Drosophila melanogaster: one gene and its partner. Changing the gene in region 2 together with the main gene of any one other region gives a genetic interaction. Each region holds a gene or a part of one and is shown on either strand. Other genes may lie near its edges.

What was found. A genetic interaction does not mean that the proteins touch.
Region 1: of mspo (region 2) and Mp20, changing one suppresses a phenotype caused by changing the other (phenotypic suppression), as found in Drosophila melanogaster (one study listed by BioGRID).

The regions. Positions count from the first base shown.
Region 1 is NT_033778.4:13,242,728-13,250,332, forward strand, and holds Mp20 (muscle protein 20), read left to right. Parts: upstream 1-3,942; 5' UTR 3,943-4,015; coding exon 4,016-4,045; intron 4,046-4,189; coding exon 4,190-4,522; intron 4,523-4,589; coding exon 4,590-4,777; coding exon of another isoform or gene 4,778-4,781; exon of another isoform or gene 4,782-5,032; intron 5,033-6,084; coding exon 6,085-6,103; 3' UTR 6,104-6,153; downstream 6,154-7,605. Other genes in the region: CG4712 (uncharacterized protein), read right to left, coding at 6,216-6,604, 6,674-6,770, 7,282-7,605.
Region 2 is NT_033778.4:14,709,420-14,717,199, reverse strand, and holds the start of mspo (M-spondin), read left to right. Parts: upstream 1-3,577; 5' UTR 3,578-3,931; coding exon 3,932-4,388; intron 4,389-7,780.

The DNA of each region.
Region 1 (7,605 bases), 1.5 Mb from region 2:
ACTTTTGACTTAAATTGTGCTAATGAAATAGAAGTTTTGTACATTAACTTAACACCCTATATGCTCACAAAATTCCTGGCAAGCGGAGTTCCCATAATTAGACGTATAATGGCTTCAAATTAGCATGGCTGCTAAAAACTGGAGCCCATCAAGGAGAAAACCCTGATGCGGCACACGTTGCCATTTACAAATCGAGTTACAGATGACAGACGACAACTTTTGTGCCAAACTTTTTCCTTTAGCAAATGATGACAGAATGGAGGGTGCAGGTCCAGAACTCCTTGAGCCTACATTGTGCAAATTGATTTAGTGTAAAATGCTGCTTTGAAGTCCGCCTGTTCAGCGCCTGCCAGTCAATTTGTCGAAATGGAAAGTTTCTCGATGCGGGAAAGTGGATGAAACCTCATTACAACAGACTCCTAGTTGCAGCCAGCCAGGCAGCCAGCTTTAAAGTGTTAGCCAGGGAATTCAATTAGGCCAGGCCATGCCAATTCCCCATTGGGAACATTCGGAGGCCAGAAGTCATCGGAGCGTGTTGCTGAAATATTGACAAAGTTTTCGCATTCGACCATTGGGACAAGCGATTTTGGGTTTAGCTTCTCGATTATTACATGGGCCAATATTTGCCGATTTTATTTCGGGTCAAACATCTCGCCTTTGGCCGCTGCTGAGTTGGTCGTAAATTGGAAAGCACAGTCACAGTCGAATTATTGATTAAAAATCCCTACACTTTTCGACCAACTAACCGCCCTCGCACATATAAATTTTGTATTATATTATTTTCACCTTCCTTATTCTCGGCCAGCTGGTGGAGCAGAAAGACCTTTTTGTTGTGGTTAAGTGCTAGGCATCTTGGTTGCGGTCCGGCTGAATTTCTAATTAACCTTTTTTCGGGCTTTTCGGGTGGTGTAGGCGGCGCCACCCGGGGGGGCTTACGTCTCAGGATTTTACGTTTGGGTAAATAATATTGGGCGTAAGCCAAACAGAATAGAAACAGCTAATAAATAAAAAGTTCAAAAGATTCCGCATCGCAATCATTGCTGAATCAAGTTTGGAACAAAAGTATAAACAAAATTCAAATGAATTGTAAAATAGTCTAGAGACTGCACACCTTTTTTTAAGGTATACAATTTAAGCGCTAGGACTTTTTTGATTTTTTGATAAAATCCTTTTTCTATACTATTTTTAATAAGAACTTATATTTTTATTAGCAACAAAGTAATGTGTGTGGAGTCAATAAATAAATTTGTGAAAAGGTGTCAGTTATTGTTTGGCTTATATTATAAGATTTAGATTTAGAGAAGCCGATAATTGGCAAAAGGGGAAAAATTTTAAATACAAAACAAATAATTCCTCCAACATTGTGCTACGAATGTTCTTTGAGCGACAAAGTGAAAATGTTGAGATTTATTTAATTGCTTTTGTCGCAAGGAGCCGAAAAATGTCTACAGAAATTATGAGAAACTTATAAATAACTAGTGGATGCCATGACCGCGGCGAATCGAGTGTTTATTTTCGTTAACAAAATGACGACATTGGGCATGATTTTCCAATTAAATGCTGAGCTTAAATAAATAATGCGTCTATTTATAGACGGCCAACTCACTGGCAATGGGGCACGAGTTGCCAGTATCTGTATTCGAATCAATGTTCTTCGTTTTGTGTTTGTTTATAAATGAAATTGCAGTCTGCAAACTGAAACGCTTGACTCAATTTCCGTTTCCGCCCAGCTTCACTGTAAGCCAGCGGAAGCGGCACAAATGCCAGCAAGTGGTTGCTGGATGGCCCAAGGGCTAGCCGGATCCTTTGGAGCCATTGGATCCATTGGATCCCTTTGGTGCCTTTACTCCCCAACGACCTAATTTTCGCTTGACTTCATTTCGGATATGCGTTGCCATTTTGTGACCATTGTGTGCTGGCCATTTTGCGGAGCATAGGCCGTCGGCCTGGTTGTGGATTTTTTTATGCTGATTTATGGGAAAATAATCCCGGCTAACTTAGCGCCTGCAAAATGGTTCTCCTCCGCCAGGATGTTTGCACACTCGAATCTAATTTTCCTGGCCAAACACATACACAATGCTCTGCTCTGTGCAATTTTGGCACAAACGTTGATGAGGATGTCGTCTGATGAGGATGCATGAGGGACCCCCAGGGTTCGGATAATCATTTAATCAGCCATTTGTTTGAATTGCAATCCAAGGGAGACGATAGTAATAGTACTTTCCAAAACCATCGGGTGTGTGCCATCGCGTAATTGAATTTGATTCTTTCACTTGACGAGCCACACCCCTCAGCAAATGCAATTACAATAATTTAATTGCCGTGAAAAATGGCCGCCCGGCTGCGGGGCATTAATTAAATTTTTGCGAAGACAATAGTCAAAACCCAGCCTGCGGCGCATTTAATTCACTTAAATGGCAACCAATGCGGTTTACTTCAATTCGCCGCGTATTTGTTAATTAAAATAAAAATGTAAGAAAGAAAACGCTCCGTCGAAGTGCCGCGGGCCAAGGAGGCGGTAAAAATAAACGAACACGCCATCTGTTTTTCTCCGCCGTGGGAAAAACAAGAAAAGCCTGGAAAATCTCAACTATTTCGGCTCGGCTCCACCTGTTCGGCGTCGAGAATTTAGAAATAGTCGCGCTACCCATAGCACAAATTCGTCGCGCCTTTTACGTGTATCTCGTAGATTTTCCGACTGTTATCGAAATTGTATCTGCTCTAGCAAAAGATTTTCCCCCATCCCGAAATAGATGTCGCTGTGCGATTTGTTTGTTTGGCTTTCCCCCCCGAAATACTCTAATAAAATATTAATTTTTGTGGGGGGGCACGAACTTTGACAGTTCCCAGTCGCCTTGACTGGTCGCCTCTTCACTTTATTGCCCTCTCGTTAATTTTGAAGGCATGTTTTGCTGATGGCTGTCCTCGAACAAAGTGCTTTTCAATAACACAAGGCACATAATTCAAGTTAATTTCCCGCTCATAAAGTAATCGCTGTCCTTTTTACTTTTTAAAGCTTGCAAATTGCTCCGTCTTTTCCTGGAGACATTATTTATATCCATTATCAGATTATAAATACATTGTATGAATATTTCAATAATATTTATAAAAATTTAAAACATTAGTATGATAGTAGTATGATGAAATTATTTCGAATATTCTCTTAATAAACTAATTGGCATGTTCTAAATTGTGAATATTGCAAAGGATGCTCCTCACATTTTGTAAATCTCTGTAAATTCTGAAGGACGTGTCTTTGGAAGATTTGATTATCAAATATATTTGAAATACCAATTAAATCCAATTTGAAAAACATTTTCAGTAAAAATTAATAAGTACATGTCATTTTTGTAAACTTTTTATGCAGAAAGTCCTTTTAACAAGAAATTGCCATGTCGCTGATCTGATCTGATAACTGTGAATAATTGTGAGGATGTCCATGTCATCATAAATTTCGCTGTAAATTCTGGAGGATGTGTCGCTCGATGGGAACCAATTTGCTGCCATTTTTAATTATGACCCAATGCATGCCGATGGAAATTACGGGCAACGAATGCACGCGCCCGAAATGAGTTCAAAATGACAGCAGGACAGCAAGTCCGAAAAAATGCGGCTAACATGCAAATGAGCAGTACTTTGAAGAGCACAATCTACACACACTCGCACACACACACACACACACATACCATCGATTGGAAATGTGTGAAAATAATGAAGCATTTGGATTTTTCCTTTTTCTCAACCGATGATGATCTAAAATTATAACGCACGATTCATACGCGGGAGACGGGCAAAGTCGGCGTTTCGAATATATAGAACGCCCACGCTGCAAAATTTTCACACACTCGACTCCGAATTCGGATATATTTTTGGAAAATTCTTGAACGAATTCGTCGGAGAACGCTCTCTCGCGCTTTAAAAGCCGCATACGCCCCGTTGGCTGGCATCAGTGTTAGCTTGTCAGAGCTTTAGTGAAGATCCCGCAGGACCCGAAACCAAAAACCAAGAATCAAACATGTCTCTTGAGCGTGCCGTTCGTGCCAAGGTGAATACTCAATCAGTGAAGAAAAAAGATCCTTAAGAAAACATAGATATAAAGGAAAATAGATGAAAGAAATGTGAAATTACCAAACAGTTTTGTGAAATATTGTGCCTAAAATATGAATTTTTTCTTATCCGATCCACCTAGATTGCCAGCAAGCGCAATCCCGAGATGGACAAGGAGGCCCAGGAGTGGATCGAGGCCATCATTGCCGAGAAGTTCCCCGCCGGCCAGTCCTACGAGGATGTGCTCAAGGACGGTCAGGTGCTGTGCAAACTGATCAACGTGCTGTCGCCCAATGCCGTGCCCAAGGTCAACTCCTCGGGCGGCCAGTTCAAGTTCATGGAGAACATCAACAACTTCCAGAAGGCCCTGAAGGAGTACGGTGTGCCCGACATCGATGTCTTCCAGACCGTCGATCTGTACGAGAAGAAGGATATTGCCAACGTTACCAACACCATCTTCGCTTTGGGCCGTGCCGTAAGTTTCAAATCGCCTTCTATCCCATTGTCAGCCAGGCTAATCCTTGAATTGCGGCTCATTGCAGACCTACAAGCATGCCGACTTCAAGGGTCCCTTCCTGGGCCCCAAGCCCGCCGATGAGTGCAAGCGCGATTTCACCGAAGAGCAGCTGAAGGCTGGCCAGACCATTGTGGGTCTGCAGGCCGGTTCCAACAAGGGAGCCACCCAGGCTGGCCAGAACCTCGGCGCTGGCCGCAAGATCCTGCTCGGCAAGTAAGCGCCAAAGGATGGCCAGGATGTCCACACCCTTTTCTACACTTATGCTAAGTGAACACACCCATATATATTTTGTATGATGAAAAACATGAAGAACACAATGATATTCCTCACCAAAGCAAAACTCAACACCAATGAACACACACTCACACAAAACAACACATAAAAGCAACGCAAAGGCTTGTCGCCTTATATTAAGTATACGCCTAAGTTAATCTATTTATGAGTACAATAAAGTAATTCAAAGAACCCAGTTTTCCACTTTCCGATCACCTCTATAACCTTGAGCTCTCTACGTTCTTGCTGCTGTTGTTTGTGTGGGTGTACAGACTTTATTTATCTGCCTATGGTGCGTTCTAAAAATGAATTTCATACCTATAGCCATATAGCTGAATATATATATATACTATATATGCATCATCGTATCAACGTTATAAAGCAAACATAAACACACTCTGTTGAGTGTGTGCGATGTGTGAAACATTCCATCGAAGCGTGTCGAGGTCAGAACATCAGCGTTGGGCAGAGTTATTATCAAGATGGGCATCTCGACACTGACTTTTACATATATTTTATATGTAGCGAAAGGAATTTCCCCCAAACTCACCTGTCCGAGGCGTGAAATTGTTCCCACGAAAGAACACACACAACATTATGTATTGCAGGTGCAACTATGCTGGTGCCAAAAATGAAAAAAACCAGACATCTCTCGCGAATATTTCACGCCTTCAGCTGGCACTTTTCTAATTTCTCGATTTATTATAGTTTGTCAGTGGGTGGAATTGATCTCTGTTGGCTTATTATGCTGAAAGCAAAGAGCAGGAATGGAAGAATCTGGAAATATTTTGTATTAATTGTATGTTAGATCTATTGAAAAAATATGTCTTAGAACGCAGAATATATTCAGCATGGATTTGTTATTAGTTTTAAATGACGCAGTCTGCAAATGAAATATTTTCCTCATTCGTTTTGGCTAATTGAAGTGTACTCAGGTCGTGTGTACAATATTTTAGACTCAAATAGTGCTCAGAAAGGATGATTAAGAATAAAGCGTGCCAATTTCCGAATCGGTATATTTAGAATTTTGAAAATTTCCAACAATTGGTTGCTAGAAATATTAATGAGAACAACCAAACGGTATTTCCCCTTGGTTTTGTTGTTTTCTTCAACATATATATATGGATGGAATAAATAAAAGCAGGCAAATAAATAACAAACTTGACACTGAAAATGTGGGGGATATATATATATATATACATATATATTAATAATGGTTCATTAAGAGATTTTCTCTACCGTTTCAGGGTTATTATTGATGCATAAGCTTACGACTAGGAAGTCTTGAATTTTCCATTGTTTATAGCATTAATAAACGACAAATATTATATTATTTTTGTGGAAAAATGTATTTGGTTGAAAAGTGGTAATAGCCCTATTAAATAATCGAGCTCTTTTTTCGAGGTGACATCAAACTTTGCAGCTGATTGGTAAGTGATTTTAGGGTTTCCCGGAGACTCGAGACCATTTTCTCCTTTTCACGAACATAGGCGACAGTTCGATCGTAGTCATACATCAATGCGGGCATAGCCAGGATACCACCCTGGCATGTCAAATCTCTCATCCGGCGCCTAATAGCCTTGTGCTCCAGTTTTCGGCGACACAGCTCGGATTTTAGTTTATTTTTCAACTTGTGCTTTTCCAGCAGGTTATCTTTAAGAACGTGAATTTTGTTCTTAAGCTCGTGGGACTTCTCTCGATTGTGCTTAGTCATATGCAGTTCGGTGTGGTAGAGCCTGCGCTGTCTTTTTAATTCAATATTTCGCTCTGATGGAGATGATTATTATGCATATAATAATGAACAAATTTTAAGCAGAGATGTTCATAGGACTATACCTTCAATCTTCTTTTCTAGGCCGATCGTTTTGTTTTGCACGGAAATAAAGTCATTCAAGCTCACACCGTCGCAAACCGTTTCTACATCTCTTATTTTCTAAATGGAGATGTTTCAGAAAAGTATGTTGATACAAGTAAAACAATCAAATTAGAAAACATATGAAAAATTGGAAAACAATATTGGTGATAGTAAATATAATGAAAAACTACATGGCTGGATAGTGGGAAGCAATGTGTTGTAAAATATTGTGAATAACTTAATAGCATTATGTGACAATTTGAATGAGCATAACCGGCGGATAACATGGTTGCTAACATAGCATATAACATGTCGGATAACATAGCATGTAACATGAGTTGGCAGACAACACGGCGATTAACATATAATGTAATATGACGGATAACATGGCGAATAACATGAAGGACAACACGGCTGATAAAATGGCGGACAACATGGCGGATAATATAGCATGTAACATAGCATATAAAATGGCGAATGACATTACAAAAAATACGGAGGATAACATGGCGGACAACATGGCGGAAAATCTCTCAACAACGCGTTCAACATCGTGGACAACTTTTTGGACAACATCCTGGATACCTACTTCTAAGATGCGGGCCAAGGTGTGTTTCTGCGACATGAGCAACAGCCGGGCATCGCTAATTTGATTCCGATGGTCGGCCATAAGTCGGAGTTCGCGGGCAACCAGGCGCTTGAGGAAATCGGTCTCGGCGTCCGGACGAACCAGGATGCGTTTTAACGTCTGCTCGAGATGATGCTCCGTGCTGAGAACGATGTTCATGGCGTTGGCGAGGTCCAAAAACGCAGTGGTCATTAGAATGCCATATTTCTCCCTTACCCTGATGAGGCGCTCTTGACCATAGGACAGATAGGTCAGGGCGTGATCAAGGCGACGGGAGTAGGTTGA
Region 2 (7,780 bases):
GTTTCGTCATCATAAAAATGTTAGCGAAAATACATATTTGACCAGCGCAGCAAAACCAAGAAATGGGTAAATATTATTTATTTATATGTATAATATCTATGTATATGTATTTTGGCTGACCAACGCCGAGGAGCATAAATTATGCGCTAAGCCCTCGGAAACTGACAAATTTTTGGCGTTGCACTGGATTATGTGACTTAAGAGCGAATGATGCCAAAGAATTTTTAATGAACTCGTTCACTTCCCCCTTTCACCACATAATTTTCACCACATTTCTGATAAATTACCTACATGACGGAAATATTTTATTATTCAGCCTGATATATCAAAAGCTACCGTTCTTAAATGTTAATTTCTCACTTAGAGCCAAGTTATCACATTGCTACCATACATTCCAAAAGGTAAAAATAGCTAATTTACCAAACCAATGCAGTTTGCGAAAGGGGAATGCAGTTTGTCAGATGCATTTTGAGTGAGCATCTGCCATGGATACCAAAACGCCGACCTCTTCAAAATGCCAAGCAGGAATTGAGTCAAAAGTCTGATGATTGTGGGTGGCCCAGAATGCATTGTGAGGTAAACGTAGTTGCAACACGCAGCATGCAACATGCAAATTCATTGATCAATGTTTCATCGAGACCTTCGGAGTATTTTGATTTTCCGATGACATTCGTGTGCAGCCTTTGTTGTTTCTATGCAGTGGATTTGTTGCGATAAATAAGAATATATGTGCAATGCATGCATAGTTTTTATGCAAATGTGCCACCAAAGCATTCACGATTTCCAGGAGGAAGTGCATCCGACGTACGCCAGATGCATCAACAGTCGCTGCTGGTTGGCATTTTGGTTGCTTTGTGTTCGGCTTTCAATAAAACAGCGACAGCGGAACAGGTGAGGTTGGGCAGGAAAATTTCGGGGGTTTTGGAAAATTGCATACATATGTGGCATGGGGTCTACGGATCCTGTTTGTCTGCACGTCTACGTGTCTGTTTGGCAAATGCCAACTTTATTAGGAATTTTTGCCATTCGCTGGCTCATGAGGCGAGCGTAGAACATTTTTGGGGGCCGCATTTCCACATTTTCCTGCCAATCCATCCGCTGTCCCTTTTGGTTCATGTATTTGGGATTTTACTTTGGCTGAATGGATTATATTCGTATTTTGCCGACAAACAAACACAAATATCTTGTCTGCTCAGGTGGGTGGAAGTGAGAGCGAAACTAAAAACCGGGGAAAACCAGAGAGAGAGAGGGAGAGAGAGAGAGAGAGAGAGTGAGGAAAATGAGAGGAAGAAAACTCATGCGCTGTGCAGTGGAGAGAATTTCCCATTGTTTTCTAAACATCAGTAGTTAATGCCGACATTATTGAAAACCTATATATAAATTATAATTTATAGAGCTCTTAGATTATTTTTGTTGATTTTGTTGATAAGCTTAAAATATTAATCTTAGAATTGTTATAAATTTTTCGCATAAAATAAAATCATTTTTGTTTGTGTCATTATAAAATTTATTCGTTTTTTTCACGATCATGAAGATGGTTTTACAAATTAGTATGTAAATATTATATTATCTTAAACCTATTTTAAAAAGAAATACATAAAAATAAATTTGGAATTAATTTCCATAAATCGAAGTCGTCAATTGTAACTCTCCTGCATTAGGTCACAAACATTACACAAAACGAGCATTAGCACCTCATTTGAATGGATTCCATTAGGGCTTGTGTATTTGTGTATGACGCACTTAACTAATGGCCCGGCGTTTAAAGCCCCATAAAAAGGCCCAAAGGACAGCTGAACAACCTGGTAGTGACCATGTCTAAGACAAATGGCGGACTGTCCGTTTATAATTGACCGCAGGCGGTTAGAGACACGGCCAAGTGGTTGGGGCTACACATTATCGTTGTGGTCGTCGTTCAAGTAGAATGGACAATTATTATTAACTGCAATAAATTTCACGCACGCACAATTTACATAGACTGGGAAAAACGAGGAGCAGTCAATTTTGTTAACTGTGATAACATATAGTGACTTTCGTCACTACGTAGACATGCTGTTCGTTAAATACAGTTGAATAATGAATATATATTATTTTATACAAGATTGATAAAAAATAAATTTAATTTCTTCGAGTGCCGAGAAGTACTCAAGCGTATCGCAGGACACGATCTATAAAGGACACAGGACACGGACATTCGGTCAGGACACGTACAACTCATTTAAGTGCAACATAATTGTGTGTGTCCAAGTTTCGGGAAGCTCCCACCTGAAGACTGCGCTTCCCCGAGGGATGGGACAATGGATCCAGGGGGGGTGGGGGTGGTATAATTGCCACCGGGAGCACATGTCAATGGCAATTACCGGCAGTGAGTTCAAGTGGAGTTCTGAAAGAATGCCGGACCGCTGACCACCACCCCCATACTAAATAAATCGATAGTTGTGGCCGTTGTGTTGCCATTAGCGTGTTGTTTAATTGAATTGTAGCAATTAAAGAGCTTCAATTGGTTTTAATCGGAAATTGTTCTCATTGTTCGAGCACAATGGTAAAAGTCGAGCTGTCGCACACACACACACATGCTCGTTGATAGTCGCAGATTGAGATAGATGTGTGCACACACACACACATATACGTAAATAGTCGTCATTCACATAAGCCCGCCTCATTAACGCTGACATTCAGAACTGGCAGAAAGGAAATGTGCAATAAATGCGACTAAGCCTGTGGAAATCACCAGCAACAAGAGCAACAACAACAACAACAACAACAACAATAATAGCAACAGAAGCGGAGTGGTGCGGAAAAGCACCACACAAGCCACGGTAATCACAGGGGGTTAATCGCAGTTGGGGGTTAAGCCAACAATGGGAGTTCAACTAACGCTCATCTGGGGAAAAGTCAAGTGTTCGGCGGCAGTCAAATTCGCAGTCTCATAAGGGATTTTCGAGTTTCTGTCATTGAACTGCATAAGTGAAGGTTAAAATCCATCAACATAGTACTTAAATAATACAGTAAAAACTATTGGAACTCAAATTAATCATGAAACATAGTAAAATCTTTTATTATTACATAAAAAAAGAAAATTCCTGATGGTTATTAAATTATAAGTAATAGTAGTAATGTTAAATGCTCTTATGTTTATATTTATATGTATGTTTATATTGACGCTTAAAAACTATATTTTAATGAAATCTAAATTGACATAAAAATAGAAGATATTAGTCAGATTATTAAATAAACTATCACTCTCTTTATAATTTAATGTTAGTCCTAGCTGTTAACAGAACAGTAAAAGTTAACATAAAACTTAACATCAACCTAGTGGCACTAAAAAATATCCTCGGGCAACACCAGTTAGCTGGGAGCTCAACAGGCTGTTTCTTTCTTTTTTCTCCGCCTTCAACAACAGTTGGACGATAAGAATTTCCCCAACACGGAAATTTCTTTACTCTCTCTGCCAAAGGATGGTTAATATTCTCCCGCATTTCCGCACTCTCTCTCTCACTCTCAATTTCTGCAGTGCTTCACCGTTGTTCTCTCTCCCATGGGCCATGTTTTCATTGCCTGCCGCAACATTTGCTCAGTCCGCGACGAACTCTCAACGCGGGCGGTTGTGTAGAATCTGTGGCAAGTTCTTGCTCCATTCGCACCCATATCGAATTTATTGAGCTTGCTGCGCGCCAAAAGTCCAAAAAGTGAAGAAAACGCAGAGCGTACAAAGTTGGAGAAACCAAAAATAAATATGTGAATGCCGCGAGTGTGTGTGTGCGTTTATTTTTAAGCGACGGCCCCCGAAGGCAAATGTGAAGTGTAAGCGGCAAACAAAATACAAAAAAAAAGCAAAAAAGATAAGTAAAGAGCGAGAAATATAAATTATATCAAAACAAAAATAGCCGCCAGAAGGCAAGCGAATTAGCACGCAACATTTGACGAAATGGGAGCGACACCGAAAACAGACTTTCCGGCTCACTGGCTGCTGTGTATCCTTCTGGCTCTCGGCTCCTTATCCTCGAAAGCGAATGCCGTTAGTGCTTATGGCGCCTCCTTCATTTCGAACCCATCCATATATGCATACAGTGTCGAAAATCAGCCGGATGAACGCGAGTCCAGGGACAACAACATCAAGTTTGCCGCTGAGCACGGCAATCTGAATTCCAATTCCAATCTGAATCGTAATTACTACTACACCGATGATCCCAGTCCCGTTTCCAATCTGAATCCGACTGCCTCGCTGGCCACGCCTCCCGCCACCCAGCCCGCCCCGCAGACGGGCTGCACCCTGGACCGCCTGGCCGTCTACAAGGTCGTCTTGCACACCTACTGGACCCGGGAGCTCTTCCCCAAGCACTATCCCGACTGGCGACCCACCGCCCAGTGGACCAAGACATTAGGTGAGTACTCCATATGACACCATTATAATTGTTTTTAAATTTTGGTTTTACTTAAGACTATTAACCAAACAAATAAATGCAAGTTGGTCTAGGCTTGTGTATCTAGAAACCATAAACTTGTGATCATAAACTTTGATAATAAAATAATGATTTTTAAAGAAATATAGCACTGATTTAAGAGCGCAAGCTTTTTAGGTTTATAAACATAAATTGAAACGTATTTAATGCTTTAATATTTGTACGCTTTAATTTGCGCCTAATTGGAATTCCAGCAGAATTGCAGCATCAATTTTCGTACAAATATTTTGCGATTTTCCAATTTTTTTAAATTCGTTCAAACAAGCAAATCCAAACCAATTGGGCCCAATGCCCCAGCCAAAATGGGTCAAACATTGTGTGTCTCCCACTCCAGTGATTACTCAATCGTTGAGATGGGGATAAGGATCTCATAATTTGTGCCAGCACAGCAGCCAGGCACCAAATGCCCACAGACTAATTTGTCACAATGCCTTACCTCTCACCTCTCTCCCAATTTGTCAGACATGCATATGTACACACGGATATGTATGGGCATCTACATACGTAAGGAAAATAAATCGAAAAGCAATTTCGCAGCAAGTTGGCTAAACATTTTCGGTTCGTTTTGGTATTTTGGGTTAAATCAGTGGGGTCTTTGGTTTGGTTTGGAAAATGCCTTTGGCCGCATTGGCGTGTCGCTTGTCTTATCAATGTTTTTGCAGATTTAGCTGTCGATTTATAGCACACAGGCACACACACTCGCTCACTCGCTCACACACTCCCACACTCACATTGGTAGCTTGCAGGATATTCAGACGACCCAGTGAGACAAGTAAATCTGACAGCTAAACAACCAAAGCCTGGCCCACATGCAGGGCCAAATAAAAAAGGATAAGCAGGAAGCGGAAAAGAAATGCGATTTGTACGTGCTTATGCGCGATGTGCTGGTCTCAGCGCAAAACGAGAAATTGGATAAAGTTGTTCAATATAAATAAGAGGGAAAGGACCTGCCATCACATAGCTCATTCTTATCCGGGAATTCGAATTTTTGATGTTTTGATTTTAAAGCTTATCGTGAAGAATGGTCGCTCTATATTTTTCTCTCTCATATGAGTAATTAAATGGGCATTACGAGCTATACATCTCTGGGCCATAAACTTCATTCTTTCCCTTGTTGTTTATAGTGTCGTCTGGCTTATTTATAGTTTTTCCTCTTGCGGCAGGCAGTGTGCCACAGTGCGTATGCGTGATTTATGTGAGCACTGCACTTGTGCTTATACTTGCATAAAATATAGCGAAAAGGACTAGTGCCCGTACTTTATCGTAAACTACACTATAGTTTTGCTATTCAGTCGAGTGTTTTTGCTGCTTAACACTTAAAATGCAGTAGAGTGTGCGTTTATTTTGGAGAATTTCTTCAGGTTTCCCCTTAAGAATGCTTGATATAGTGTGAATTATTATTTTAGAAACTTTTTTCTGTATGGGATAAACACAAAAGAAAAATAATCGTTGTTAAGATAGCAACTATGAAATATTCGAAGTACTTGGTATCCATAGAGTTAATTTGTTTTTGCCTTAAAACAAGCTTATCAACTACCAAAATATACATGACACATTTCGCAGAACACTAGGCATTTCACATTAAATATGAACTAATGCCCCCGGACACAATATCCTTCTCGGAATTCTGGAATTCCTGCTACTCCTGTCACTGGCGTCTCAACTTGTTTCCCCTGATAGCCGTTTAGTCCTGGCCAGCGGCACATGCGAAGCTGGTCTGATACTGTTCCCTTAGTCCGAGAACGAGTCCTGGCCGAATCCGGAATGCCATTTGGCATTAAAATTCAAGCAGCAGAGCGGGGCAAAAGGATAGCAACAGAACAAAAAAAAAAACAAAAAAAAGTAAGGAAAAAGCTTAGCAATGCACTTCGACTTGGGGCGGTGGAAAATCGTAGTCGAAGTGGGTGGGCTGGAGGGGCAATGGCTTCCTGCCTGTCATATCCTGTTTATATATAATTTTCAGTGCGCAACTCTAACATCCGTTACATTTCAACTGGTTGGAGGCGGCACAGAACAAAAAAAAAAAAAACAACTAGGAGCACCAGCAAAAAAGGATATACTATATATATGGAGGTCCTTTTGTTTTTGCTGTCGAAGGAGTTTCGCAGCGCAAAATTTATTATGAATGTTCAAAAACAAGCAGCGACAGCGATTGCAGCGCGAGGGAAATGCACTGCCCTCGTCCGCTCGCCTTTTGTGCCGCCAAGTCGCCCCCAATGTCCCAATGCCTGATCCTTTCCCATTCTCATTGCATTTCCCATTCGAGTTTGCTCCTCGGCGAGTTGTTAAATTTCATTTGCCGCTGCCCCGGCGACTGTTGTCGCTGTTTTTATCGCAAATTGAAACCGAAATAAAGTTCGCCTCCTGCTGAATATTTGTTTTAGTCCTGCCATTTTTTCCATTCGCTCACTCCTTGCGCCGCCTTGTCACAGTTTTTGTTTGGCCCAAAACGAAACACATTCGCCGAAAGAAGCATTTTCGCAACAGTTTTATGCTTTTTTGTTTGCTGATAGTTCGGCTTTGGTAGTCGGTTCGTCTCTGTTTTTGCCATTTTTATTGCTTGTCGAGGTTTTTGTTGAGTCAATTCTCGAGCGTTTTGCAAGCCAAAATGAAATGTTGCACTCTGGCAAGTTGCATTTCAAATGACTGCCACGAAAAACGGCCTCGAGGCACTGAAAAAAAAACCTACTAGTTTCTGAGGCATTAACTTTATGCTGTCAGCTTAAATTATTTCATACAATTTGTTCTCTATCTTGAGAGCAATTGTTTTTATAAATTCACCTTAGATGAACAATTTACTTAAGCAATTAAAATACACTTTTCTGAATTACCAAATATTTCTCGCAGTGCCTGAATATGCGATTTATCGGCCAGGGTTCACTTGTTTAGGTCGACGGCTTTTACCGGCTAGATTGCCAAAATTAATTGGTCTACAAATAAAGAGGGAAGTTGATTGAATTTCGGAGGTGGTCGCCAGGTATATCCGATAATCCCCCCGCCCCACTGATCCGTTGTCAATGCCACTTTACGACCCACCACCACGAACATCGCCACCACCATCATGGCCAACAATATTCCGCCCCTCGAAGTGTTCGCAATTTGTGCCGCATAACTTGCGGCCCATTGTCCAGAGTCCTGCCGAGAAGTCCTTGCGGCTTTCAGCTCGTTAATTGCCACGTCCATTGGGGCAATTATCCTGGCTGCTGCTTTCGCCGCTGCCCATTTGTTTTTGACTGCCGCTGCGGCAGGACGTGCGTGCGTTTGTAGTTGGTGTTAAATACTTTCGCCTGCGGCACTTTCACGCCTCGCATTTT